Macaca fascicularis: one gene and its partners. The protein of the gene in region 1 interacts with the protein of each later gene in a pairwise test. Links are inferred from orthologs where the notes say so. Each region holds a gene or a part of one and is shown in the gene's direction. Other genes may lie near its edges.

The links.
Region 2: the proteins of CEP44 (region 1) and H2AP interact in binary tests that used the Homo sapiens proteins (3 or more experiments, as listed by UniProt). The two-hybrid records come from large-scale screens. The link is inferred for Macaca fascicularis from reciprocal best matches to the Homo sapiens genes CEP44 and H2AP.
Region 3: the proteins of CEP44 (region 1) and ABI3 interact in binary tests that used the Homo sapiens proteins (3 or more experiments, as listed by UniProt). The two-hybrid records come from large-scale screens. The link is inferred for Macaca fascicularis from reciprocal best matches to the Homo sapiens genes CEP44 and ABI3.
Region 4: the proteins of CEP44 (region 1) and TXLNA interact in binary tests that used the Homo sapiens proteins (3 or more experiments, as listed by UniProt). The two-hybrid records come from large-scale screens. The link is inferred for Macaca fascicularis from reciprocal best matches to the Homo sapiens genes CEP44 and TXLNA.
Region 5: the proteins of CEP44 (region 1) and CBY2 interact in binary tests that used the Homo sapiens proteins (3 or more experiments, as listed by UniProt). The two-hybrid records come from large-scale screens. The link is inferred for Macaca fascicularis from reciprocal best matches to the Homo sapiens genes CEP44 and CBY2.
Region 6: the proteins of CEP44 (region 1) and RNF8 interact in binary tests that used the Homo sapiens proteins (3 or more experiments, as listed by UniProt). The two-hybrid records come from large-scale screens. The link is inferred for Macaca fascicularis from reciprocal best matches to the Homo sapiens genes CEP44 and RNF8.
Region 7: the proteins of CEP44 (region 1) and POP5 interact in binary tests that used the Homo sapiens proteins (3 or more experiments, as listed by UniProt). The two-hybrid records come from large-scale screens. The link is inferred for Macaca fascicularis from reciprocal best matches to the Homo sapiens genes CEP44 and POP5.

The regions. Positions count from the first base shown.
Region 1 is NC_088379.1:179,043,570-179,047,069, forward strand, and holds part of CEP44 (centrosomal protein of 44 kDa), read left to right. Parts: intron 1-675; coding exon 676-822; intron 823-1,218; coding exon 1,219-1,341; intron 1,342-3,500. UniProt on the Homo sapiens protein: Centriole-enriched microtubule-binding protein involved in centriole biogenesis. In collaboration with CEP295 and POC1B, is required for the centriole-to-centrosome conversion by ensuring the formation of bona fide centriole wall.
Region 2 is NC_088395.1:37,930,048-37,933,131, forward strand, and holds H2AP (huntingtin-interacting protein M), read left to right. Parts: upstream 1-1,196; 5' UTR 1,197-1,968; coding exon 1,969-2,322; 3' UTR 2,323-2,584; downstream 2,585-3,084.
Region 3 is NC_088390.1:57,494,318-57,497,338, reverse strand, and holds the end of ABI3 (ABI gene family member 3), read left to right. Parts: intron 1-1,371; coding exon 1,372-1,506; intron 1,507-1,847; coding exon 1,848-2,011; 3' UTR 2,012-2,521; downstream 2,522-3,021. UniProt on the Homo sapiens protein: May inhibit tumor metastasis. In vitro, reduces cell motility.
Region 4 is NC_088375.1:202,849,163-202,853,221, reverse strand, and holds the start of TXLNA (alpha-taxilin), read left to right. Parts: upstream 1-1,259; 5' UTR 1,260-1,313; intron 1,314-1,884; exon of another isoform or gene 1,885-1,886; 5' UTR 1,887-1,918; coding exon 1,919-2,087; intron 2,088-2,818; coding exon 2,819-3,154; intron 3,155-4,059. UniProt on the Homo sapiens protein: May be involved in intracellular vesicle traffic and potentially in calcium-dependent exocytosis in neuroendocrine cells.
Region 5 is NC_088391.1:24,906,511-24,910,736, forward strand, and holds the start of CBY2 (protein chibby homolog 2), read left to right. Parts: upstream 1-1,426; 5' UTR 1,427-1,497; coding exon 1,498-1,572; intron 1,573-1,871; coding exon 1,872-1,952; intron 1,953-4,226.
Region 6 is NC_088378.1:134,270,005-134,273,504, reverse strand, and holds part of RNF8 (E3 ubiquitin-protein ligase RNF8), read left to right. Parts: intron 1-623; coding exon 624-828; intron 829-3,500. UniProt on the Homo sapiens protein: E3 ubiquitin-protein ligase that plays a key role in DNA damage signaling via 2 distinct roles: by mediating the 'Lys-63'-linked ubiquitination of histones H2A and H2AX and promoting the recruitment of DNA repair proteins at double-strand breaks (DSBs) sites, and by catalyzing 'Lys-48'-linked ubiquitination to remove target proteins from DNA damage sites.
Region 7 is NC_088385.1:127,617,210-127,621,214, reverse strand, and holds POP5 (ribonuclease P/MRP protein subunit POP5), read left to right. Parts: upstream 1-1,205; 5' UTR 1,206-1,245; coding exon 1,246-1,265; intron 1,266-1,347; exon of another isoform or gene 1,348-1,350; coding exon 1,351-1,493; coding exon of another isoform or gene 1,494-1,612; exon of another isoform or gene 1,613-1,741; intron 1,742-2,676; coding exon 2,677-2,826; intron 2,827-2,947; coding exon of another isoform or gene 2,948-2,997; coding exon 2,998-3,081; intron 3,082-3,179; coding exon 3,180-3,274; 3' UTR 3,275-3,549; downstream 3,550-4,005. UniProt on the Homo sapiens protein: Component of ribonuclease P, a protein complex that generates mature tRNA molecules by cleaving their 5'-ends. Also a component of the MRP ribonuclease complex, which cleaves pre-rRNA sequences.

The DNA.
Region 1 (3,500 bases):
TGGCCTCCCAAAGTGCTGGGATTACAGGCGCGAGCCACCACACCCAACCTCAAATAGTCTTTTAAAAAAAGCAGAGTTGCAGTCAGTGAAATGGGAGTTTTTATATGTAGTCTCTGTTTAATCTTTCTCTTTCTTGCTTTTCATCCCAGAAAACATCCATGGAAGCTAAGAGGCACTTTTAAGAAATTCTAGAGCTCCACAGAGTAGATTTAGGAAACTACTGATCTAGTGGGTTTTTTTTTTTTTCATTTTACAAATGAAAACTTGAGACCAAAAGGCCCACTGACTTATCCAGAAATCACATAGTGGAAGAGTTATAAACAAATAGAACTATAGTTTCTGATTCTGGTGTGGTCTTCTGGTGAACTAGGGAGTTTTTCTAATGTCTATGAAGATATTTAAACTTTTTGATGATTGACTATATTTTTCCATCTCTCTGGACAGCCATCTGTTCTCCAGCATATCCTTTGCTACCTGTTTTCCACCTGATACCTGTCTTACTGGATCGTGACTTACACCAGCCCTATAAATTACTTTAGTACTCTTTAGTTAATGGCTTGGTTTTCCTTGTCCTCTCAAAGGTGGCCATTATTCCCCTGACCAGGTGGGCATTATCATTTGGAATTTTAGAAATAAATTGCTCCCAATTACTACAAGAGTCTGTTTCCTCTGCAGCTCCTTCGTGATCAATTTAATTATAAACCAATTTTGACAAAAAAGCAGTTTATCCAATGTGGGTTTGCAGAATGGAAAATCCAAATTGTTTGTGATATTTTGAATTGTGTGATGAAAAAGCACAAGGAATTAAGTAGTCTTCAGAAGGTAACTTTTGAATAGATTTTAATGCTGATGTATGATATTAATAGATGGCTCAGTATTTTAACACATAAAATCAGTACCCTAGACAGCAGATTATTTCATAGTGTAATTACCGTATTATTCAAAGATTTGAGTAACCTTATAAAGCTTGATGTTTATTTTAAATAGTACTCTCTTGTTTTATACACCTGTGACTGGAAACTCCTAGTGTTAAACTAATAGTTCAAACATAATGCATTTTCATTATTTCTTAGTTTTTAAAAGTCATGTAGTCTCATTATAGTCTCATTATTTGTCAGTTATATTTCATATATGAAAATTTAAATGTTAATGGAATTTTAATATATAATTATGCTTTCACACAAAATTTGTTATTTTGACTGACACCTTTTTTTTTAGATTCCATCACAACAAAGAAAGAAAATCAGTTCTGGCAAGTCAGAACCTTCTCTGAGCAATGAGAAAATATCTGCAGAGGCTGTTGGCGTTGATACCAGTGGCAGATTTGTGACTTCAGGAAAGGTATGCAACCACAAAGAAAATATATTGTTTAAGAGTTATCTAATTAATCCAATATACAGTTTTCACTTTTCTGATTGGCACCTGATGAAACATTCTAGTTAGATATTGGAGTGTAGGGATTTTTAACAGTGGATGCCAAATGTTTTTGGGCAGTATTCCTGAAGTTATAACAGTAGGATAGAAATATAAAATTAAATAGGTGTTCTCTTTGTATTTCTAATTTCTAATTCTGCCTGATTTCCTAAACAGAAGAGTAGTGATTTAGGAAGATATCTTATGCAGTTGTCTACATTTGCTCTTAATTTTGTTCTGGTCTTCCTAAAACATGGGAACATATGAAGAGCCTACATTAGCAGTAGTGATAGCTTATAATGATTCATTTATGTACATTATATTTCTGTAACCAAGTATGCATTATCCAATGATTGGTAGTCCCTACACGTATTAACTGGTTTTCAGTTAATGTTTTGAATATGTTCTTTTTCTTGAAAGATAATTTTTCTGCCGTTATCTGCTTTGAGCAGCTGTGGCAAATTGAATCTAACGCATTTAGAGCTCCAGTGTATCTATCACAAAGGGAGATTTAAGCTAAAATATTGTTTTATATTATATTTTCAGCTGTTTTCCATCTGGAGAAAACTCTTTCTGATTGAATGATAGAATATCAGATGAATTATCAATGGTGTAATTAAGTAAAGGATGTGAATACTTTCTGACTGAAGTGTAATTTAGAGTATTATTTCTGCCCTAATCCAAAACAGATGAGTTATGTAAACAGAATCTATTTTAAAAATTTATACATGGGCCTGGTGCAGTAGCTCACTCCTGTAATCCCAGCACTTTGGGAGGCCAAGGCGGGTGGATCACCTAAGGTCAGGAGTTCGAGACCAGCCTGGCCAACATGGCAAAACCTCGTTTCTACTAAAATTACAAAAATTAGCTGGGCGTGGTGACAGGTGCCTGTAACCCCAGCTACGCAAGAGGCTGAGGCAGGAGAATCACTTGAACCCTGGAGGCGGAGGTTCCAGTGGGCCAAGATCGTACTACAGCAGTCCAGCCTGGGTGACAGAGCGAGACTCCATCTCAAAAAATATATATATTTATTCCTTTGTACCTTAAAAAACTGAAACTTTATTATAAGAAAAGGTTCTTATGCCACTTCTTTTTAATGTGCCTGTTTTGCTCTAGGTAATGAGGACAATATAAAGAATGATACAGAGCTGAGATTTTTGAATAAATGCATATAGTTTTTGTACACTTGCATCTCCAACTCGTCTAACTCTTGTTAGTTTTATTTATTATTTTCTAACTGTTAAGTGATATATCTTGTATTCTTCCCCAACTAGAAGGAACATATATAAACAGGGATTTTTTTAATACTGATTTTTTGTGCCTTCATTTTGCTTAGCACAGGATTAGGTACACTGTGAGCACTTATTAAATATTAGTTGATATAATGTACTTTTCAATCTTCTATTTCAGTATGAGAGTTGAGGGGACAGTCTAAATTGTCCTAGCCAAGAAAAATGTAAACTTCAAAACATTAGACTTATTTTTAATTTTCTTAAAGCACAGTTTTCTTTATCTATTAAAATTTGTATCAGATCTTTATCAGAAATTCGAATAAGTATTAAAAGTTCTCAGATTTAGAAAAGAGTCTACAAGTACATTTCTTTGTTTACAAGCAAAAGTTGAGTCAATATTAAAGCAAATTGTCTCCTCTCCCGGTGCCTTATATAGTATGCTGTTTGTGCTTCTGAAATCACATATGTTTTTGTAGTGTGTATGCAAACTGTAGAATAGGAAGCAGGTAGAGGATTTCTAGGTAAATGCATAGCGTGACCTAATGCTTTTTTTGTCAGGACTTTTTCGTTGTCATTATTAGGTTTGAATTGTTAGCTAAAGGTCTGATAAATTGCAGTTTGTTTAATAGAAAAATTGTAATGAGCCCTACTCATAGAGCCAGGCTCTATTTTGATTATTTGAAGTGAATTATTCGGCAATCTTTTTTAAAAATAACTTTGTATTATGGAACATTTCAAACATTTACAAACGTACCCATCATCCAGTTTCAACAGTTTATCAACTCTTTGCTCATCTTGTTTTGTCTTTATTTTAAAACAAATCTCAGACATAATTTAATAAATATTTCAGTGCTT
Region 2 (3,084 bases), on another chromosome or scaffold:
TGGTGTTTTGAAGAGATATGGGGTGTGCTTCTCAGAATAAGCAAGGGATTGTCTATGAAGGATCTTGAAGAAACCTCTTGTCTAATCACATGAATCCCCATGACATACATAAAAGACCTATAAGTTTTTGAGAATGTTATATCAGCAGAAACAATGCCAGCTTAGACGGAAAGGGACAAATAGAGGAAGAAATGAAAGAAGGCCATAGGACTCCCAAAATTTGACAGGAGAAAGCAGGCTGATAAAACTACTCAGCTGTAAACATATGCTACCATTCAAAATAAAGGAACAATGACTGAGGGCAGAACCTAGAGGCCAGAGGGCAGATTTATTACCCCAGGTGAAGTCATAGGATCAGAGTGATCAAAGGGAGGAGTCTTAAGTCATAGAATATTCCCAGGCCTTGAAACCTAATGGTTGGATTTTGAAATTGTTTGGATTTAAGACTCTTTTGTTCTTTCTACTTTTTCCCCTATGGAATGGCAAAGTTATTGGCTGTAAATGAACCAAAGTCAAAGGGAAAACACAGAATTACTAGAAAGGAAAATTAAATAATAGAAAAGAAACATCTGTTAGTGCTTTTGCTTCACCTAGGAGAGACAAGAAATATACATCTGGGCTTAAACTGAGCACAAGATGCACTTCTCTATCAACTGTTTACCTGACACTGACAGGTAAACTTATTGAGCATCTTATTATTAATTGAAAAATGATTAAAATATATTTTTCAACCATTGTGGAAAACAGTATGGCAATTCCTCAAGGATCTAGAACTAGAAATACCATTTGACTCAGCCATCCCATTACTGGGGATATACCCAAAGGATTATAAATCATGCTGCTATAAAGACACATACACATGTATGTTTATTGCAGCACTATTCACAATAGCAAAGACTTGGAATCAACCCAAATGTCCATCAGTGACAGACTGGATTAAGAAAATGTGGCACATATACACCATGGAATACTATGAAGCCATAAAAAAGGATGAGTTCGTGTCCTTTGTAGGCACATGGATGCAGCTGGAAACCATCATTCTCAGCAAACTATCGCAAGAACAGAAAACCAAACACTGCATGTTCTCACTCATAGGTGGGAATTGAAGAATGAGATCACTTGGACACAGGAAGGGGAACATCACACACTGGGGTCTGTTGTGGGGAGGGGGGAGGGGGGAGGGATAGCATTAGGAGATATACCTAATGTAAATGACGAGTTAATGGGTGCAGCACACCAACATGGCACATGTATACATATGTAACAAACCTGCACATTGTGCACATGTACCCTAGAACTTAAAGTATAATAATAAAAAATAAAAATAAAAAAATAAATAAAATGCATTTTTCAAATAGGGTAAAATCATGACACTCATACAGATACGAAATGAACACATGCTAAAAGAAAAAGATGTTATGACTGCTTCAAAAGGGAAACCAAAGAGTCGATATGGGAATATTCATCAGTAATATTAAATGATTGTGCACATGGAGGCAAAACTGGTTTCATAAGGTGAAGACAACTGAACCTCTACTAAAGAATATACTGTACATGTATCAGCCACCTACAACTAACAAAAGGCTATAAAAGACTTCACAGATAATGTAAGGCTAGAATCAGATAACCTGCAGTGGTGTCCTAAAGATAGAGCAAAGTTTTCCATTGAAACACACTTTTATTTTTATAATGTCAAAATCAGGTAAAGAGTTATAGTTCCCTCAAAATCAGGGTTCAGTCATTAGGGTGACTAGATCAGTGTCACAGACATTTCTAAGCTGAGGTCTGATCAGGGACCAGTGGACACCAGTGAAATCACAAAGCCTAGGGATGTCACAAAGGCAGCTAGCTCCCTGACCAATCAGGGCCTGGAGCAGAGGGATCCAATAGGCAGCACCAGCGTCCTCAGAGACTTACTTGAGCTGGAGAATCAAGCAGAGCTGATCAGAGCCAAACCCAGCAAATATCATGTCAGAGAAAAATAACCGTAAGAACTCCTCTGCAAATAACAACCAGATTCAAGACCGGTCTAGAAATGAGCTGCGGGTCCCTATGAGCTTCGTGGACCGAGTTGTGCAAGATGAACAAGATGCCCAAAGCCAGAGTTCCTCCACAATAAATATCCTCCTTACCCTGCTCGATTGCCTTGCTGACTACATCATGGAGCAGGTAGGCTTGGAGGCCATCAACAATGGCAGGATGCGCAACACTTCACAAGATGGGGAGAGAGAAGTGGACAACCACCATGAGCCCCACCGCACTGAGAGTGATGGAACCCGCTTTGTGTTTGATGAGATGCCCAAATCCGGAAAGAATGACTGAAGACTGGGTCCCAGAGCCTTGAGGGGATCCTCACAGGCTTAGCCAGGGCAAAAATGTGTCACAGCTGAGGAATATCTGCTGTTGTCATCAACAAGTGCTACTAAAGGATGTAAATCCATGAGTATGTTTCTGACTCCTTCCAGTTTCCGTCTTTTTGGGTTGTAGGTGTCTGTGAGACATCAAGGAGAAGCTATCCCCAGAGAGCTGAAGTTGGGGGGGGGGGGCGGGAAGTGGTGGCCAGTGTGGAGTGTTTGAATCAGTGATTTAGAGGGGGCAGTTTCCAACGGTGACAGAGAGGGCACGGGCCCTGTGGGGAGGAACTGGCTGGGATAAAGACACCGAGACTTCCTAATTGCCTCTGAACAGGAAGGCCTTGTGAGGCCGGGGAGTTGGCTGGGGGCCTCTGAGGCTTGCTGAATTCCCAGCCTGATGCTGGGGCCTGGGGTGGAGCTGCAGACTCTGACTGAAGTGCAGGAGGCAGAGGGTGGTGGCCACAGGGGCGGGTGGAGAGGGGGCACACTGGCTGGCATGAAGTTCATGGGATAGGGACTTTACATGGAGATTGAGAGTGAAGGAGAAACCATGATGAAAAATGCAAAAAAGAAATGATGGCCTGCTGGATTTCATTTCTTATTTCTTTATGCCCTGACTTATTATGAAAGAGGATTTGAGACAGGGATTAGTAGCTAGTGCTGTGAATATATCTTTCTGTCCTCTCTTCAGGACACTGGTAAAATAAATCATAATAATACATAAAATTTA
Region 3 (3,021 bases), on another chromosome or scaffold:
GGATCTGCCCCAGCCAGCCTCAGTGAATGCCTCCTCCATGGAGCGCAGCACGGGAGCGAAAGGAGGCGGAGGAAGTGAACTAACATAACTTAGCGCCTGCTGTATACCAGACCCTGTGTTCGAAGCTTCTCGTCCATTTTCTTATTTAAACTTAATCCTGGCCGGGCGCGATGGCTCATGCCTGTAAACTCAGCACTTTGGGAGGCCGAGGCGGGCGGATTACCTGAGGTCGGGAGTTCGAGACCAGCCCGACCAAAATGGAGAAACCCGGGCTCTACTAAAAATACAAAATTAGCCGGGCGTGATGGCACATGCCTGTAATTCCAGCTACTTGGGAGGCAGAGGCAGGAGAATCGCTTGAACCCGGTAGGCAGAGGTTGCGGCTAGTGGAGATCCGGCCATTGCACTCCAGCCTGGGCAACAAGAGTGAAACTCCCTCTCAAAAATAATAATAATAAACTTAATCCTAAAGGCCAGGTGGGGTGGCTAACGGCCGTAATCCTAGCACTTTGGGGGACTGTGGAGGGCAGATCACTTGAGGTCAAGAGTTTGAGACCAACCTGGCCAACATGGCTAAAAATACAAAAATTAGCCTGGCTGGTGGTGCATGCCTGTAATTCCAGCTACTCAGGAGGCTGAGGCAGGAGGATCACTTGAACCCGGGAGGCCTCCAGGCTGCAGTGAGCTGAGATCACCCCACTGCACTCCAATCTGGGTGACAGAGCGAGATTCCCTCTCAAAAAAATAAAATAAAACAAAACAAAATAAACTTAATCACGAGAGGGTCCTTAGCACTCTTCCTTAATAGATGAAGCCACTGAAGCTGAAGTTCAGTGACTTGCCCAAGAGCCACCCAGCTAATAAGAGGTAGAGTCTGACTGTCCTCTAGTGCTGGATCTTTCAGGGTTTACTGAGCACTTACTATGCGCTAGCACACCGTGGGAGGACCAGGACAGGAGAGGGCTGGAGGAAGATTGCATGAGATGGGTGCATTCTTTTTATTTTCTTTTCTTTTGAGATGGAGTCTCACTCTGTCATCTAGGTTGGTTGGAGTGCATTGGCAAGATCTCAGCTCACTGCAACCTCCACCTCCTGGGTTAAGCCATCCTCCTGCCTCAGTCTCCTGAGTAGCTGGAATTACAGGCGTGTGCCACTATGTCCAGCTAATTTTTGTATTTTTAGTAGAGATGGGGTTTCACATGTTGGCCAGGCTGGTCTCGAACTCCTGACCTCAGGTGATCTGCTCACCTTGGCCTCCCAACGCGCCTGGCTGAGATGGGTGGATTCTGGGGCCCAGCTCTCGAGCAGATCCCTGACACACTGAAGGAGCTTCCTGTGCCACACTTACAGCCTTTCTGCTTTTCCCCCAAGATGAAGAGCTGCCCCTGCCACTGGACCTGCCTCCTCCTCCACCCCTGGATGGAGATGAATTAGGGCTGCCTCCACCCCCACCAGGCTTTGGGCCTGATGAGCCCAGCTGGGTGCCTGCCTCATACTTGGAGAAAGGTACCTGACTTCTGGGACTGAGGGGCACCGGATCCCACTTCCCAGCGTCTGCCTCTGTTGTCCTGACCCCCATTCTCCTCCCTCTGCAAAGGTGTGAATCTACCCCCCGGGCTCCCTACACAATTTTTCTGACGAACTGAGTTCAGAACAGAACTGGGGAGAGGGCAGCTGGCTTGGTATTAAATATTAACTAAGCTGGGGAGGGGTCCTAAAGGCTTGGAAGCCCCTCAAGATGGTCCCTAGAGTCTAGTACTTGAGACCCTGCATCCCCATGGCGGTGGGGGTGGGGGGGGAGAGGGCAAGAGGCATATCTCACAGCACCCTCTTCTCTTGCCCTGCAGTGGTGACACTGTACCCATACATCGGCCAGAAGGACAATGAGCTCTCCTTCTCTGAGGGCACTGTCATCTGTGTCACTCGCCGCTACTCCGATGGCTGGTGCGAGGGCATCAGCTCAGAGGGGACTGGATTCTTCCCCGGAAACTATGTGGAGCCCAGCTGCTGACAGCCCAGGGCTCTCTGGGCAGCTGATGCCTGCACTGAGTGGGTTTCATGAGCCCCAGGCCAAAACCAGCTCCAGTCACGGCTGGACTGGGTCTGCCCAGCTCTTGGGCTGTGAGCTGTGTTCTGTCCCTCCTCCCATCGTGGAGGGAAGGGGTCCTGCGGAGAGAGAACTTACCCAGAGGCCTGTTGCAGATGGGGAAGAGCTGGAAACCAAGAAGTTTGTCAACAGAGGACCCCTACTCCATGCAGGGCAGGGTCTCCTGCTGCAAGTCTCAACTTTGAATAAAATGGATGACGTCCTGTGACTGCCCCACGGAGATAAGGGGCCAGGAGGGATTGAAAGGCATCCCAATTCTAAGGCTGCTGCTAATTACAGCCCCCAACCTCCAACCCACCAGCTGCCCCAGAAGCAGCATCTTCCCATTCCCTCAGTACCCACAAAATGCAGCCCACATTGGACCCCAGACACCCCTCTGCAGCCATTGACTGCAACTTGTTCTTTTGCCCATTGCTTGCTGTGTGTGTGATGTGTTCATATGTGGCTGGGCACTTGCCCAAGAGTGGGAACCATCTCCCTGACTTAAGCGGGACTCTCCTAGAGCACCTCACTCTCAACTCAGACTGACGCGCCAGAGATCTCAGTCATTTCTTCCCCCTTCACCTCCTTTATAGTTGTAAAACACCAGAGGAAGGAGGGGCTTGGGTTTCGCTGGTTCTGCTTAAAAACATCATGGCTTTCTGTTCCATGGGGGTGGGGAGGGGGATGCGTGGAGGGCCCAGCCCGCAAGGGTGACTTTGGTAAAGTCCCTGGTCTCTTGCTGCATAGATGAGGCTGGGGTGCAAGGAGACACCGTCACACGCTGCGAGGTTATTGGCTGGCAGGACCCGGGCCGGACGGTGCGCTACCTCGTACCACCACCAGGAGGCGATTGTTCCCTCTGGCTTTTCCGTTGGGGGTGCTAGAAGGGAGTGCGGAGGTCGGGAGGCAAGAGGGTGTAGACAGCACAGAAA
Region 4 (4,059 bases), on another chromosome or scaffold:
GAATATTTAGCCAACAGTTCTTGCAAAATTAACTGACTTATAAGCAAATAGTAATTTCAACACCTCACTGCTAATGCTGTAACAGAACTCTGCAGACCTAGGGAGCAAGTACGGATTGCAGAGCACTGGGAAGGCTCTGAAGTGACCTTTGAACTGGGCCTCAAAAAATTTTGGGTTTGGCAAAAGCCAAACCTCTTAGGCTTCAAATTCTAGGCACAAGGATTGTTGGGTTTGACTTCATTATCCAGAAACAATGAGGATACAGAATTGTGATCTCACGTGTAGAGAATTGTGGGGTTTTTTTCTACTTTAACCCCAGTGAGACTTCGTAGAGTATGGGGTAGAGAAAAGGCTCATGAATATGCCTGAAGCCTGACTCAGCACCTTCCTGAGGAACTGACTGCCAAAACGGTAATGGAGAGGGGAAAATATGACCTACTTTCACAAGTTACCTTGACTGCCTCAGGGAAACCTGCTGTGGTAGTGTTTCTTCTGGGTAAAAGACAGGGTAGCCGAATAGTTACCTGGGTGCTGGTGTCAGACTTACGTTTTGAATCCCTGTTTTAACCACTCACTATCCATGTGACCTTGGACAAGTTACCTAACCTTTCTCTTACTGTCCTTTTCCGTAAAATGGGGATAACAGATAGTAGTTATTTCTATGAGTGGTTATGAGAACCAAGCTATTAGATACTGGGAAAGCACACAGTAAGCGTTCAAGGAACTGTTATTGTTATTAAAAGCCTCCTTCGGAAGAAGGACATCGAGGCCCAGAGAGAGAAAAGAACGTCCAGCCACACAGCAAATCCGTGATGAAATTGGGACTGGAGTGTGGGTCTCCTGAGTCTCAGTTCAGGACTCTTATCCCTCTTCCCGAGTCCTCGGAGTTCCTGGATGGAGTCACATTTGTTCACGGCCAGGGAGGAAGGTTTGATGGAGGCCTGCAGGAAACAATAGCCAGGCGCAAAGCCTTCGGGAGTTGAAACATAGCTTCTGCGAGATAGAAACAAGGTTGACGTGGGCACTCGTGCAGAATGACGGGCTCCTTTTGGACTCTGAGGACTACAGCCCCTTATGCACTTCGGGACTGCGGATAGCCCCTGCGTACGGAGGAACGCGTAGACTTTTCCCTGCCCCGCCCTCCCGGCGCGCCCGCCTCCGAGGCCGCCCTCGCTTAGTCCTTCCCAGCAAGCTCCGCGCCGGCGCCGGCTATTGATTGGCTGAGGCGGGAGCAGGCGGCTCGCCGGCAGCGGTTACTCGGGGTTTCCGGTGCGAGGCCAGAGCTGGGGAAGCCGTCGGACGTCGGCGGTGAGGTACGTGCCGTGGCAGCCGTTGGGCGAGACTATTTGAGGGTGTGCGGGCCGGGATGTTCTCGGCCTGTGGGGAAATCACGCCAACTCCGCGCGTGGGCCGGCGGCCGGGACGGGGGGAGGGGGGGTGGCCTGCCTGGGGGGGGGGGGGGTGCGCATGCGCGGGCGTGCCTCGAGGCTGCAGGGCGCGCAGGGCGTGGGTGGCTGCGAGCGCGGGGGGCGCACGTGGGGCCTGAGGGGCGGGGGCGGCGCCGGCGCCGGGAGTCCCGCCACGTCAGTCTCCGGCCCTGAGCCAATCCCGGGCCCGGCCTGCCGCGAGGGGGCCGGTTGTGTAGAGAAGTGGCTCCAGGGAGAAAAGAGGCCCCTTCCCTCACCCGCTGCGGGAGCTGCGCCCCGAAAGCCTGTCCCGGCACGCCGGGCTCCCCTGACCCTCCAAGACCCGAGAGCCGTTGGCGCCCTCTGCCAGGGCCGGCCGGTCCGTTTAAGAAGCTTCGTGCGCCTGCTGTGGGGATTTTCTGATCCAGGCTGCGAAGAATTTCGAAGTCTGGAAAATAGCAACTGTGTTTGTTTCTAAAGGATCTTCTCCTGACCCAGCATCTCTCATCACAATGAAGAACCAAGACAAAAAGAACGGGGCTGCCAAACAATCCAACCCAAAAAGCAGCCCGGGACAACCGGAAGCAGGACCCGAGGGAGCCCAGGAGCGGCCCAGCCAGGCGGCTCCTGCAGCAGAAGCAGAAGGTCCCGGCAGCAGCCAGGCTCCTCGGAAGCCGGAGGGTGTGTGCCAGCTCTGCGTTGCCAGCGGGCAGGGGGTGGAGCTGTGGGGCCGGCCTCGCTTCTGGACTTAGAGGCCGAAGCCAGGTTGTCCGGGAGGAGGGAATATAGAATGAGAGGACAGTGCTGGGGCCGCGGTCACCCCCGAATTCTGGCGAGTTGGCGGAGCCGCTCCCTGTAAGCACAGGAACAGAGTTCTGGAGAGAACCTCTAACGGGATTAAGTCAGGTGGCAGCCAAACGGGGCACCCAGTCAGGAAATCCAGGTCCGGTTTGAAACACCTCAGCCACTAGCAGCTAACTGCCCTTCCTGTTTGAGGCATTTCTAGAATGATCTGAATGGTAAAAAATGGTTTTGTGAGGGGGAAGGAGATGGACTAGAAGTTGCACCATGCCATCCCTGTGTGCTGATGCTTTACATACTTTTATGATCATAACAAACATGTTCGAGTGGTAGTGAGAAATAGTTGTGTCATTTTACAAGTAAACAGAAGTGAAGCTTAACTATATTATATTACTATAATTTCTTGATTCAAAAGATGTTTCGAATTTAAATTCTGACAGGAACTAGATTTGCTGAATAATACTCCATTCTTGCTTCTCAGTTTCCATAAAAAAAGAAAAGTTAGGCAACATTTAACTCAAACTGATGAGTTTGGCTGGACCTGAAAATTCCCAACCAGTGGTATAATTTGTCTTGTTTCTCACTCTACCCCTCATCCTCTCCTGCTGTAGGGGCTCAAGCCAAAACGGCTCAGTCTGGGGCCCTTCGTGATGTCTCTGAGGAGCTGAGTCGCCAATTGGAAGACATACTGAGCACATACTGTGTGGACAGTAACCAGGGGGGGCCTGGCGAGGATGGGGCACAGGGTGAGCCAGCTGAACCCGAAGATGCAGAGAAGTCCCGGACCTATGTGGCAAGGAATGGGGAGCCTGAACCAACTCCAGTAGTCAATGGAGAGAAGGAACCCTCCAAGGGGGATCCAGGCACAGAAGAGATCCGGCAGAGTGATGAGGTCGGAGACCGAGACCACCGAAGGCCACAGGAGAAGAAAAAAGCCAAGGGTTTGGGTGAGCAGAGGGTGGCTCTTTGTGAGGCTGGTGAGGGGAGGGAGTTTGGACTTGACGTTCTCTGGACCAGTCTGTTCCGCCAGGATTCAAAGGAAAACGGTACTTCTCAGAACAGCAAGTCACTCTAGTGTAATCAAAGCCAGGGATGTGGGGGCCACGGCATAGAGAGATGCAGGGGTTCCCAGCACAAGGCCTTCTGGCTTTTGGAGCAATTGGGGGTTGGAATGGGACCTGTTCTCTCTTTGAGAAAATGGAGATGGGAGGCCAGGGTGGGCTCCTGTGCCAGCCAGTACTACCTGCTGTGTGATCTCGGGTGTGTCCCTTCTCCTCTCTGGGTCTTAGTTTATACTTCTCTTTACAGTAAGAAAATTAGACTAGGCTGGAGTTGAAAACCCAAATGTCTGCATAAGCTGGGCTGGCCATGGGGCCACATGAAGATGTAGGCTACTTTATCCAAAGACTTTACTGCTTCCTGATTAGTTGCTCTCAACTAGCCAACTGAGAGCAGGCAAAACTGCAGGCTGGGTGCAGGCTTCTTTTATTTTTATTTATTTATTTATTTATTTTTTGAGACAGTCTCGCTCTGTCACCCAGGCTGAAGTGCAGTGGCACGATCTCGGCTCACTGCAAGATCTGCTCCTAGGTTCACACCAATCTCCTGGCTCAGCCTCCCAAGTAGCTGGAACTACAGGTGCCCACCACCACGCCCGGCTAATTTTTTTTTGTATTTTTAGTAGAGACGGGGTTTCACTGTGTTAGCCAGGATGGTCTCGATCTCCTGATCTCGTAATCCGCCTGCCTCAGCCTCCCAAAGTGTTGGGATTACAGGCGTGAGCCACCGTGCCCAGCCTTCTTTTATTTTTTTAATTATTTTTGTTTGTTTGTTTGTTTTTTGAGACGGAGTC
Region 5 (4,226 bases), on another chromosome or scaffold:
ACAGTCCTAGACAAGGGTGGGACTCTCATCCATAATCCTAAACCACAGGGTGGGACCTGAACCCACAGTCCTTATGATGAGTTCAAAGACAATTAAAAGTACAGGTACGTATTAACAAGGTACTCACCAGAAAGATGTCTAATCCAGAAGCAATTTCTTTTCCCAAAGGAAAAGTGCCAAGGGAACCTGAAGTGCCATGGTAGAGAAGCAGGAACCCTATAGTTGAGCCTCTGAACGCACTGGTCTAGGTGGCTACTCAGGATCAGTGCAGGGGGCCTGCACACCACTAGGGGCAACAGTACCTTGAACAGGCTGTTCGTCTCACCTGGGGTTCTAGTTTGTTATCAAGCAAAAGGGGCTCACTGCCCAATATGCTAGAAGCCAATACTGACACCAAGTTTTTGAAAAAAAGAAAAGCTTTATATTAAAAGTCACCTCTGAAGGAGGCAGGAGTCAAGCTCAAATTTGTCTCTCTGTGCTGGCATTAAAGCAGTATTTTTATTGGAAAAGGTTCAGGGGGTGGATTCTGAGATTAGCAGGTGATTGGTACAAGGAAAAGGGAGGTCTGGAAAGTCCTTGGGCATGCACAGTTATTTCTTCATGTTAACTCCTGAGTTGCATGTGCAAATTCAGGGGGAATTAGTACAAAACATGTGGTGGAAATTCAGGCTACGACATCAGCAAGCTTATTGTGTGCAAGCTCCAGTCAGCCATTTTGGTTCCAACCAATTTCCGCCAGGTTTTTCTAGATCTCACAAGTGGAGGGAGTTTCAGCAGCTTAAATTTCTTTTCTTATCTGCTATCCCGAAACTCAAAAATTTCTGTTAGTTACTGATTTCTTACTCTTTGGGACTTTCCATATCTCCCATTTCCATCTACCAATCACCTACTAATCTCGGAATCTACCCCCGGAAACTTTTCTAATAAAAATACTGCCTTAATGTCAGCACCGAGAGACCGGTTTGAGTTTGACTCTTGTCTCCTTGGGAGTTGACTTTGAATATACAAGTTTTTCTTTTTTAAAGAACGTAGTGTTTTAGTATTGGCTTCTATTGCATTGGGCAGTAAGCCCCTTCAGCTCTATCACACTAACTCCAGGTAGATAGCATCAGAATGAAATGGAATTGTAGGGCACACAGTTGATGTCAGAGAATTAAGGAATTGAGTAGTGTCAGAAAACACCTCAGACTATACTTTCTCGCTTGGTGTGGGAAGAGTTCAGTTGTGTTTCCTTCTTCTTGAGTGACCGAACTCCAAGAAGACGCCACTTCTGGAGAGAAACTAGGGGTCTCAACTTAGCCTGGCAGTGAGAATACAAATGGCAGCTGGGATGACCCAACAGGGGGCTAATGTTTGAGCTATTGTGTGTCACACTGACCCTGACCGGCCAAGTAGTCACAGCCCCCACAGGTTCTTCCTGCCTGTCAGATGCCTCATTCCCACCTGTGATGCTCAGACAGAAACCATGAGCCCTGAAAAACACCCTATTGTTTTGTGATGTCACCTCTGGAATGTTCTGAGTGTTTTGGTGACCAACTTCTGCATAGGACCTATACCTGGCAACTCACATTGGTATGGCTTTTTACTTGAGATAGAAATAATCATCTTAGGCAAGCAGGTACAGTTATCTCCGCGTCAAAGACTTTCAAAAGTCTTTTACATCAACTATAATATCTAGCTTAATATCTGTTCAGAGATTGATAAACCGTCTTGCCAGATATCGTCTACACATTCTTCCAGACTTTCATAATTGTACATAACTGACAAGAGGGAAATAAATGAGGAGAAAGTTCTATGTTTTTTAGGTGAGCAATTGAGGCCCAGAGGATGAGTTGGGAAGCAGCAATCTTCTTCTTTTCTCTTTTCCACAGCACTCAAGGCCAAATTTTACAAGAAAAAGAGATACCAGATCTGAAAGCCTAGAAATTCCAATCAATGTGGTTCTACCTCAGGTAGGGATAATCACAGAGGATGTAACCTATCGGTGTTAGCCAGAATAACCCCCTACCTCCTCCTTCAAAACTCTAGCAAGATGTTGTAGAATAAGCAGAGATAGGGCTTCAGGTTCTAGTTTGGGTTGGCTGCCAGCAGGCAGCGTGCTGGGGAAGGCCACATAGCCCCTGTGGGCCTTGGGTTCTTTTTCCCACGAATGAGGTGGTTGGGTCAGATGGTTTGGTAAGAACTTCCAGTCCTAACATTCCAAGTTTCTATGATACTCTGAAGTAACCCAACCTTCTCAAAACGAGACCTTTTGGTGCTTAGTGTTGTGCATTCACTTTGGATTTCTAGAGGAGAATTAGAACTGGGACTTGGAATCAAATGCATAAGAATGAATCCATGAGAAGAAAACCTCCTTCATGGACAGAGGGGTACAGAGTTATTTGGAGTTGTCAAGAGAATTAAGCCCTGCTATGCACCAAAGACAGATGTAGGGGCCATGGGCATAGATGCTTTTGTGGTCAATGAATTGGTGAAGTCCTCACAGGCTAGAGATTCTCAGGTCTCCTCCTGCCTGAAATCAGCTCTTTCCTTAGTGGAGTCTTCTTGATTGAATTGTGTCTACTGATGCTATGTCACAAAGGGGTGGCTTTGCTTTCTCCAGAGTCACCTAAGGCCTCATTGGAAGACCAGGGCCATGCAACCAGAGGGGTTGAAATGTAGGATGGAGGAATCCAAAGCAGAGGTAACTATCTGAGAGCTCTGTCCAGGGATGTGTAGGAGGAGGATTGACCACTGGTGAGCATTCCAGATATAATTGTAACAATCTAGGCAAGTATGTTCAGTGGGAGGCAAACATATGGAAGAAGAAAACATCCTGGATGTTTATTTTCACATTATCTTTATAACTTTGTAATGAACAGTCACTTTTCTATGACTTGAATCTTAGCTAGAATATAAGATAACTTCCCCCTGATCATTCGACAGGATAACAAGCTGTAGGAATCTTTTTGGGCCTGATTCTTTCCACCTGAAATATGCAGGGAGTTGTGTTGGCCACTGCTTCCCCAAGAGTGGGTGTTACTGCTGTGATGCCTCATGGCCCATATAAACCAATCTTTTCTTCCAGAATCCTGGGGCCTCTCAACTTTACATGCTTTGAAAGTACCTCAGATGGCTGAACGTTCTCTGATAGTAACCCTCAGTAATGTTGGCAAAGTTGGTGTTTAAGAAACTTGGTCAGGCAGAGGATGCCAACCTAGAGGTGGGTGTGAAGGAGGGGATAGGATTTGAAAGAGTAGTGGTCATGTGATAGAGAAATTGGAATGATGTTTCCATCAACACCTACCGTAACTTTCCCTCCCCAGCTCCCAGAAACAGCCCAGCAATCAAAGAGAAGAGAATGTGGTTTAAGACAGCTCAAGCTTGTCTTGGGGCTGCCTGATTACTGTTCTGGAGGACCTGGTGCTGCTGCTGGGGTCCTGTGGGGGCAGAGTGGGTGAAGAATGAGAGGATATCTCCTGTCTGGGCATGTGTACCTCTCACGGGAAGGTGTATACACCTGCCAAGAGGGCACAAGCCATGCACCAGGTTTTGGACACCTGTCAGGATGCTCAAGACTGGCACTCTGGGGACGGGTGTGGGTGTCTACAAGTAGATAATCTGAACCAAAATACCACCAGGGCTGCGAGAGGGACCAATGTGCTCACTCGGCCTCCCTAGATGAGATGGTGCATGGCTTAGGGGACAGGGTTGATCTGGGAAGCAAGGAGAGGAAGAAATATCGACTGAATGTTAGTGCGATCATGTGTTGAGCACGGTGCCAAGTAAGTGTGAGGTAGAGATTTTACAGGTACAGGAACTGGCAACCCCAGGAACCCCACTAGTAATGGCAGAGATGGAGGAAGGGGCTTGAACTCCAATCAGTGCCCATGTTCTCCGCTATACCAGGGCACATGCCACTAAGCTGGGCCACGCTGCATCTTAGCTCTGTGGTTCTTCTTTTGCTCTTTGGAGATGGAGTCTTCTCCCCGCATCTTAACCGCTCATCTCTGGGCTTCTTATTTTGTATTTGCCAAAAGCTACTCTATTCTGGGATGGAATCCACTTTCCATTTGTTTCAGAAAGGACTTGTGGCAGCAGCTCTGTCTCTAGAAAGTGCCTCTGCTTCCCAGCTCCCAGTCCTGCTGTGTGTTTAGGCTTCTCAATTACATTGCAAATGCCTGTGATCACTACTTGTTATCACCCTTAGGTCTTTTCAGGACGCATTGATTTCCCGTTTTTCTTCC
Region 6 (3,500 bases), on another chromosome or scaffold:
CTCATATCCAGTAACATTTTGTTTGCAAGGTGGCCAGCCCACACTGGGAGCGTGGTCTGAGTTGGTGGACTGAAACAGACAAATCCCTTAACTTTGAGAAAATAAAAGAATTATCTAACATAAAGCTTAAAATTTCCCAACCCTAAGAACGATTTTTTTTTTTTTTTTTTTAAAAGACAGAGTCTCCCTCTGTCACTCAGGCCAGACTGCAGTGGCGTGATTTTTGTCTCACTGCAACCTCCACCTCCTGGGTTCAAGAAATTCTCGTGCCTCAGCCACCCGAGTAGCTGGGATTAGAGGTGTGTACCACCATGACTGGCTAATTTTCATATTTTTAGTAGAGACGAGGTTTTACCATGTTGTCCAGGCTGGTCTCGAACTCCTGACCTCAGGTGACCCACCCACCTCGGCCTTGCAGAGTGCCAGGATTATAGGCATGAGCCATCACGCCTGGCCCAACCCCAAGAATGATTCTGATACTCTTTGTAAGCCCTCAAGATGGGATTGTGGTTGATTTTCCATTTGGCCTTTGAAATTCACTCCTGACCTAACTTTGAGATCAGAAGCATCCTGAGAAAGTAAGCATGAAAGTTCTGATATGTGTGTTCACATTCCTGTTGTAGGCTGTCACCTTGAACTGTGCCCACAGTTTCTGCTCCTACTGTATCAATGAATGGATGAAGCGGAAGATAGAATGCCCCATTTGTCGGAAGGACATTGAGTCCAAAACGTACTCTTTGGTTCTGGACAATTGCATTAATAAGATGGTAAATAATCTGAGCTCAGAAGTGAAAGAACGACGAATTGTTCTCATTAGGGAACGAAAAGGTGAGTGGGTGTGAGAATCCCTACCCCTCAAGAAAGGACTTATTTTTTTTTTTTTTTTTTTTTTTTTTTTTTTTTTTGGAGACGGAGTCTGGCTCTGTCGCCCGGGCTAGAGTGCAGTGGCCGGATCTCAGCTCACTGCAAGCTCCGCCCCCCGGGTTTACGCCATTCTCCTGCCTCAGCCTCCCGAGTAGCTAGGACTACAGGCGCCCGCCGCCTCGCCCGGCTAGTTTTTTGTATTTTTTAGTAGAGACGGGGTTTCACCGTGTTCGCCAGGATGGTCTCGATCTCCTGACCTCGTGATCCGCCCGTCTCGGCCTCCCAAAGTGCTGGGATTACAGGCTTGAGCCACCGCGCCCGGCCAAGAAAGGACTTATTTACTTCCAAACTTCAACAAATTTTTTTTGGAAAGAGTCAGATAAACAATTCTTGAACTAGGGAAGAGGTGGAATAAATGGGGAGGAGTAAAAGGAGTTAAAGAGAGTCTGTGAGAGGAAGAGTTGAGATAGAATTAACCTCAACTGTTATTTGAGCAGCAGGGAAGTGGGAGGCTAAGCATGTGTGCCTTGGTTGTGGGGGTAAAATAAAGATGTGATTTTAAAAAACACACACAGTCAGACGTTTTGCTGTACCAATCACTAGATGGTGCTGTTGTCAAGACACTTCCGTTGCTGTCCAGGTGTTGAAAAAACCTTGAGTATACAGTGAGTTATAAATAGGATAGTAGGGCCAGGAATCTGATGCTGACTTGCAAGCAGCTGTGGTTTGAAACTGGCCCTCGGTTGGTCAGCCAGAATGGAGGCCGCAGGCTTGTCACAGAGGCGGAGCAGGACATGTGTCTGTGCCTGTTATGCCCAAGGAATACATTCTGACCTGTGGGAGGGCAGAGCGGCCTTTGAAAGTTGGCTCTTTGGAACTGAAGTTTTACCACTTTACTAACAGCTGTATGCTACTGGGTTTTGTGCCTAAATGTAAGCCCCCACAGAATTTCACCTCCAAGAGCTACTTGATTCTGGCAGAATCCCATTGTTCTTCCTTTTCACCTCCCATCACTCCATAAGCATTTATAGGAATACTACACTAGGCCTCAAGAGAAAAAGATAAATAAGACATTATCTCATCCCTTACAGCATGAACAGTCTGGCGGAGGAGATAGAAAGGCAAATAGATAGTGTGATGAGTTCCTTATCAGGGTGCTATGAAACTTCAAAGGAGGGGACACATCTGATTTGGCCTGGGGAGGTGCAGGTATGGGAGAAAGCTTCATCAAGGAAATGACATTTGAATGAGCCTTAAAGGTTCCCTAGGCGGTTAGCTTTCTAAGCGGAGACAGTAGCACAAGCAAAACACAGAGGCATGAGAAGCAGTGACCTGCCCTGCCCCAGTTCCCAGTGTGGCCCCTACGAGACATAATATTCACATGATGCCAAGGCTTAGAAAGTATCTATGGAGGCTTTGCGAATGTTTTTTCTTCCCTCTTTCCCTTTTTGAGAGGAGCAGTGATCTGGGAACCCAGATCTGGCCAAGATCAGGTTGTGGCCTTTGAACTGAAGTCTGCTGAGTCGGGGGATGGGGTTGGAGGCAGACCTAGGGACATCCATGGGCTTTCTTCGCCCAGTCTACCACCTGAGTTCCTTCCCTGCAATCTAAGCATGGTAAATGGCTTCACAAAACATCAGGGAAAGAAAAGGCTGGGCACGGTGGCTCACACCTCTAATCCCAGCACTTTGGGCGGCCAAGGTGGGCGAATCATGAGGTCAGGAGTTCGAGACCAGCCTGGTCAACATGGTGGAAGCCCATCTCCACTAAAAATACAAAAAGTAGCTGGGTGTGGTGGCACACACCAGTAGTCGCAGCTACGTGGGAGGCTGAGGCAAGAGAATCGTTTGAACCTGGGAGGCAGAGGTTGCAGTGAGCCGAGGTTGCACCACTGCACTCCAGCCTGGATGACAGAGCAAGATTCTATCTCAAAAAAAAAAAAAAAAAAAGGAAAGAAGGGCCTTGGGCCCTGTGTCCTAAGTTTACGTCTGACTCCTATTACACAGAGTTAATTCTGCAGAGTAATAACAGATACCGTTTTTCTCTCCAAAGGCTAAAGAGGGTGTCTCTCACTTTTTTGGTAACACTAGGGGGCTACACAGTAAAATGAGTCAGCTTCCCTGTTAAATGCATTGGCTGGGAGCAGTTCTGGCACCCATCTTGGTTTCTGTAGTTATCACACCGAATGCAGCTTTGAAGTTTTCTCTAGAGACAGACAGGTTTTCTGAGACTTGATTTGGGGAAAGACATGCCAGAGCTATCAACAGCTTCACTGGGTTTAGAGAAAATTCTCGGTTTAAATACCAACCTTCCTTCCATATTCCAGGGCCAATTGAAAGCTGGTTTAATCCCTGTTGCATGGGAATTTTTAAAAAGGACCAAATTTAGGATCTGGGAACTAGGATTGGCAAGCTTATAATTGTCAGAGTCCTAACACTGCAGGCCCTGGAGCAGGAATTGCTCTTCTCAATTCAGAGGAGACCTGCCTGCCTGTGGCAGCAGGGGGTTGCCCATGCAGACATGCCTGTATTCTGGTTTCACCAAGAGCAGCCTCACTTCTAGGCCTCCTGGGCTGGTTATTGAAGTTTCATATGTCAGTGGGAGGAGTAGAGTCTCATGACTGATTAGCCATTGAT
Region 7 (4,005 bases), on another chromosome or scaffold:
GGCCACTGCACTCCAGCCTGGGTGACAGAGCGAGACTCCGTCTCAAAAAAAAAAAAAAAAAGAATATGTATTTTATGTAATACCACATAAGACTTTTTTAAAAAAATACTTAAAAAGAAAATAAAAGAAAAAACATAATTTAACAGAGGGCATAGTTCTCAAACTGTTTTCTCTGTCTCAGGACCCCTTTACACACGTTACTGAGGATCCCCAAGAGCTTTTAGTTTTGTGGGTTATATTTACTATGGACATTAAAGTTGAGAAATGTTTTTAAAAAATACACAATTCCATTAGCTGTTAGAGCAGTGATGTCATCACGTCAAGCAGCCTCTGGAAAACTTGACTGTTCACTCTGAGAGAATGAAAAAGACAAGTAACATCTTAGTATTATTATGAAAGTAATTTTGGCTTCGGGGACTCCTAAACCGAGTGAGTTTAGGAAATCTCAGGGGTCCCCAGACGACACTTTGAGAACCGCTGGCCCAGGGGGAAAATGACAGAAGAAAACACACTACACGACAACAGTTATTCTCTCTCAGTGCTGGGATTATAATTTATTTGCTTCTTTGTGCTTTTCTGTTAAAAAAAAAAAAAAAAAAAAAAAAAAGGAAAGGAAAACAGAAATGGAAAATACAATGACCACGTATTGTTTCTGCGAACAAAAAATGAGACAGCACACTCGCCTCCCTAAGATTGTTGAAAGGCCCAAACAGCAATAGCACATTTAGCTGCATGGAAGAATTAAACTGAGCTCAAACCTGAAAATAAGAGTCCGATTTCCCGTTTGTCAATCCCTGGGCTGTGAAGTGCAGGGTCTTGCCCTCAAAAGCTCCACGGTTCACCTTGGGGAGAGAATGTACTCGCATACATACCTGTGCTGCAAGGTTCCCAGGGCCCCAAGGGCAGCGGTTGCATCCTACACAGTATTGTAAACTCCGGTGTGCAGCAAAACCACCCATCGCAGCTGCAAGCCGCTCCAAACCGCTCCCAGCCGCTCCAAGCCGAAGTTCAGCCCTCAAACTAGTCAGAGACCCTCCGCAGGACGCATGCGCGCTTACAAACGCAGAGTTAGGTGGGGCTTGAGGGAGACTGACACAGAGTTCGGCCTCTCAACTTTCTAGCTCCGCCCGCATGTCCTGTCTCCTTCTCTGAATGGCTGAAAGGCTGCGGAAGTAAGCTTCCCACGGGCCGCGGACGGAACCCACATCCGGTTTGCACAGCGGTCCCGACGGCGCGGAGGCAGCTATGGTGCGGTTCAAGCACAGGTAAGCATTCCCTTCCAGACCCACCCAGCGCCTTGCCAGGTCCCCGCGGCGCCGCTAGCGCCCACCTTCCTCTCGTCTGCCGCAGGTACCTGCTCTGCGAATTGGTGTCTGACGACCCCCGCTGCCGCCTAAGCCTCGATGACCGAGTTCTGAGCAGCCTCGTACGGGACACTATCGCCAGGGTGCACGGGACTTTCGGCGCAGCCGCCTGCTCCATCGGCTTCGCGGGTGCGAGAGCGTTGGGGGAAGAGGGGAACCCGGGAGGATGGCGGGACGTGGAGGGGGCAGGCGCCGGAGGAAGAAAGAAGGGGCACGAGTGGCCAAGCCCGTGCATCGTTTTTTGTAAGGTATCTCTTTAAGCGCCGGGGACCGCAAGCGAGAGATCCACACGAGTCCGAAATTAGCAGAGAGCTAAAAGGAGGGGCCCGAAGGCAGTGGGTCTTTGAGCTAGAGGCCTCTTTTTGCCTGCTTGACAGGTAATTTCTGTAATTGGTTGTGATTGAATTTGATAGGATAGAGAATTAAATGAGGGAAGCTGTGTCTAGTTCCTAGTAAGAGCTATTATGACCGATTACATTAACATCACATGGAAAAAAATTGTCGAAAGTATCCTTGGGAATGCCCTTAGTTGGTAAAGTACAGAACACATGATCGTCAATATATGTGAATACAGGATGAGCCGGGACAAAGAGGGGCCCGGGGCCCTTCTTCCACACCATTTATATTAGTTCCCCCTTTTACCTTGCTTGAGGATTGACTTCTGGAGAGTTAAATGCAGATAGGCTTAACTCATCCTTAAGTCAGGTGAGACTCAGCTGACTGCTACAAGAATTACAGAGCCCAACTGCAGTAAAACAGCCTATTTTTCAGGCGAGGGTTTTTCCTAAATTAAAATGGATCGCCTCCTACCTGCTCCTATTTATTGAATTAACTAGTGAATTAGAAAGCATTTTAAATCCTAAATTCATTCACCAGTTCTGAGTGGTGTGCAACACAGTGGGTGTTTTGGCTTTTCTCTTTTACTCGCTGATAGATCCTACGTGCCACTTGTGCTCTGTTACTCTAAAGTTTTTTTTTTTTTTTTTTTTTTTGAGACACAGTCTTCTGTTGCCCAGGCTGCTGGAGTGCAGCAGGGAGATCACAGGTCACTGCTGCCCCCACCTCCTGGGTTCAGGCGATTCTCATGACTCAGTCTCCTGAGTGGCTGGAATTACATGCATGCACCACCACGCCCGGCTAATTTTTGTATTTTTAGTAGAGACGGGTTTTCATCATGTTGGCCAGGCTGGCCTCGAACTCCTGACGTAAAGTGATCTGCCCGCCTCAGCCTCCCAAAGTGCTGGGATTACAGGTGTGAGCCACCACACACAGCAAAATTTTCCGAAATGATTTTTTTTTTTCCCTGTTGTAGTTCGATACCTCAATGCCTATACTGGAATAGTGCTACTTCGATGCAGAAAAGAGTTCTATCAGCTTGTGTGGTCAGCTCTTCCCTTCATCACATACCTGGAGAACAAAGGACACCGTTACCCATGCTTTTTCAACACGTTACATGTGGGAGGTAGGAGTGACGTGATATGGCTACTGATTTTCAATAGGTGACATGTTCAGAGTTCAGTCTAGACTGGTGGGTGGGTCTTCCTGCTGTCCCGCTAACAGGACACTTCCCCTACCTCTGAAAGTAAGGTCGAGACCTTTCACAAGCTGTTGACCGCAGTAACTCACATGCCAGGTACAATAAGAACATGTCAGAAGTTCCTAATTCAGTACAACAGGAGACAGCTGTTGATCTTGTTGCAGAACTGCACTGATGAAGGTAAGCAATACTAGCCCAGTGCCCGCTGAGCAGTGACTGACCTCGAGCTGAAGAAATCACTCCCAAAGACATCTTTCATCCCTATCTGCCTTCTCCAGGAGAGCGGGAAGCTATCCAGAAGTCTGTGACAAGAAGCTGCTTACTAGAGGAGGAGGAAGAGTCAGGTGAGGAGGCTGCAGAAGCAATGGAGTGACCCTCTGCTCACCACACAGCAGGCTACACTGCTCAGGCTTCAGGCCCACTTGTTGAACAGAACAATCTGGGTAGCAACAGCATCTTCTACAGTTTTCCAAGCTGGATAGCTGCCAACCAGTGGACATGTTACCCACTTGAAATAGAGTACTCAGTTAAACTGAAGTTGCCTTTACCTAGCATTCCCTGGTTAAGTGTTGCAGGTTGTGAACTCTGTAGACATCTTTATTGCTTGGCTAAGAGTAGATTTAATAAATGTATTTGGTTTCCGTGGCATTTAGTATACTTATATTACAAAAAGGGCTTATGGAGTCCATGCTTGGCCAAGTCTCTGTTCTCTATCCCTAGCCTTGGTGGGAAGAGTGACTCCCTGTGTGGTACTAAACTTTTTTATTGAGACAGTCTCACTCTGTCACCCAGGCTGGAGTGTACTGGCCCAATCTCCGCTCACTGCAACCTCCACCTCCCGGGTTCAAGCAATTCTCCCACCTCAGCCTTCCAAGTAGCTGGGATTACAGACGTGCACCACCACACCTGGCTAATTTTTGTATTTTTAGTAGAGACAGGGTTTTGCCATGTTGGCCAGGCTGCTGTTGAACTCCTGGCCTCAAGTGATCGGCCTGCCTTGGCCTCCCAAAGTGCTGGGATTAAAGGCGTGAGCCACTGTGCCTGGCCTAAATTTTCAATACTTAGCCTTCTACCTGAAGCTGTGTACCCCCGGCCCCAAGATGG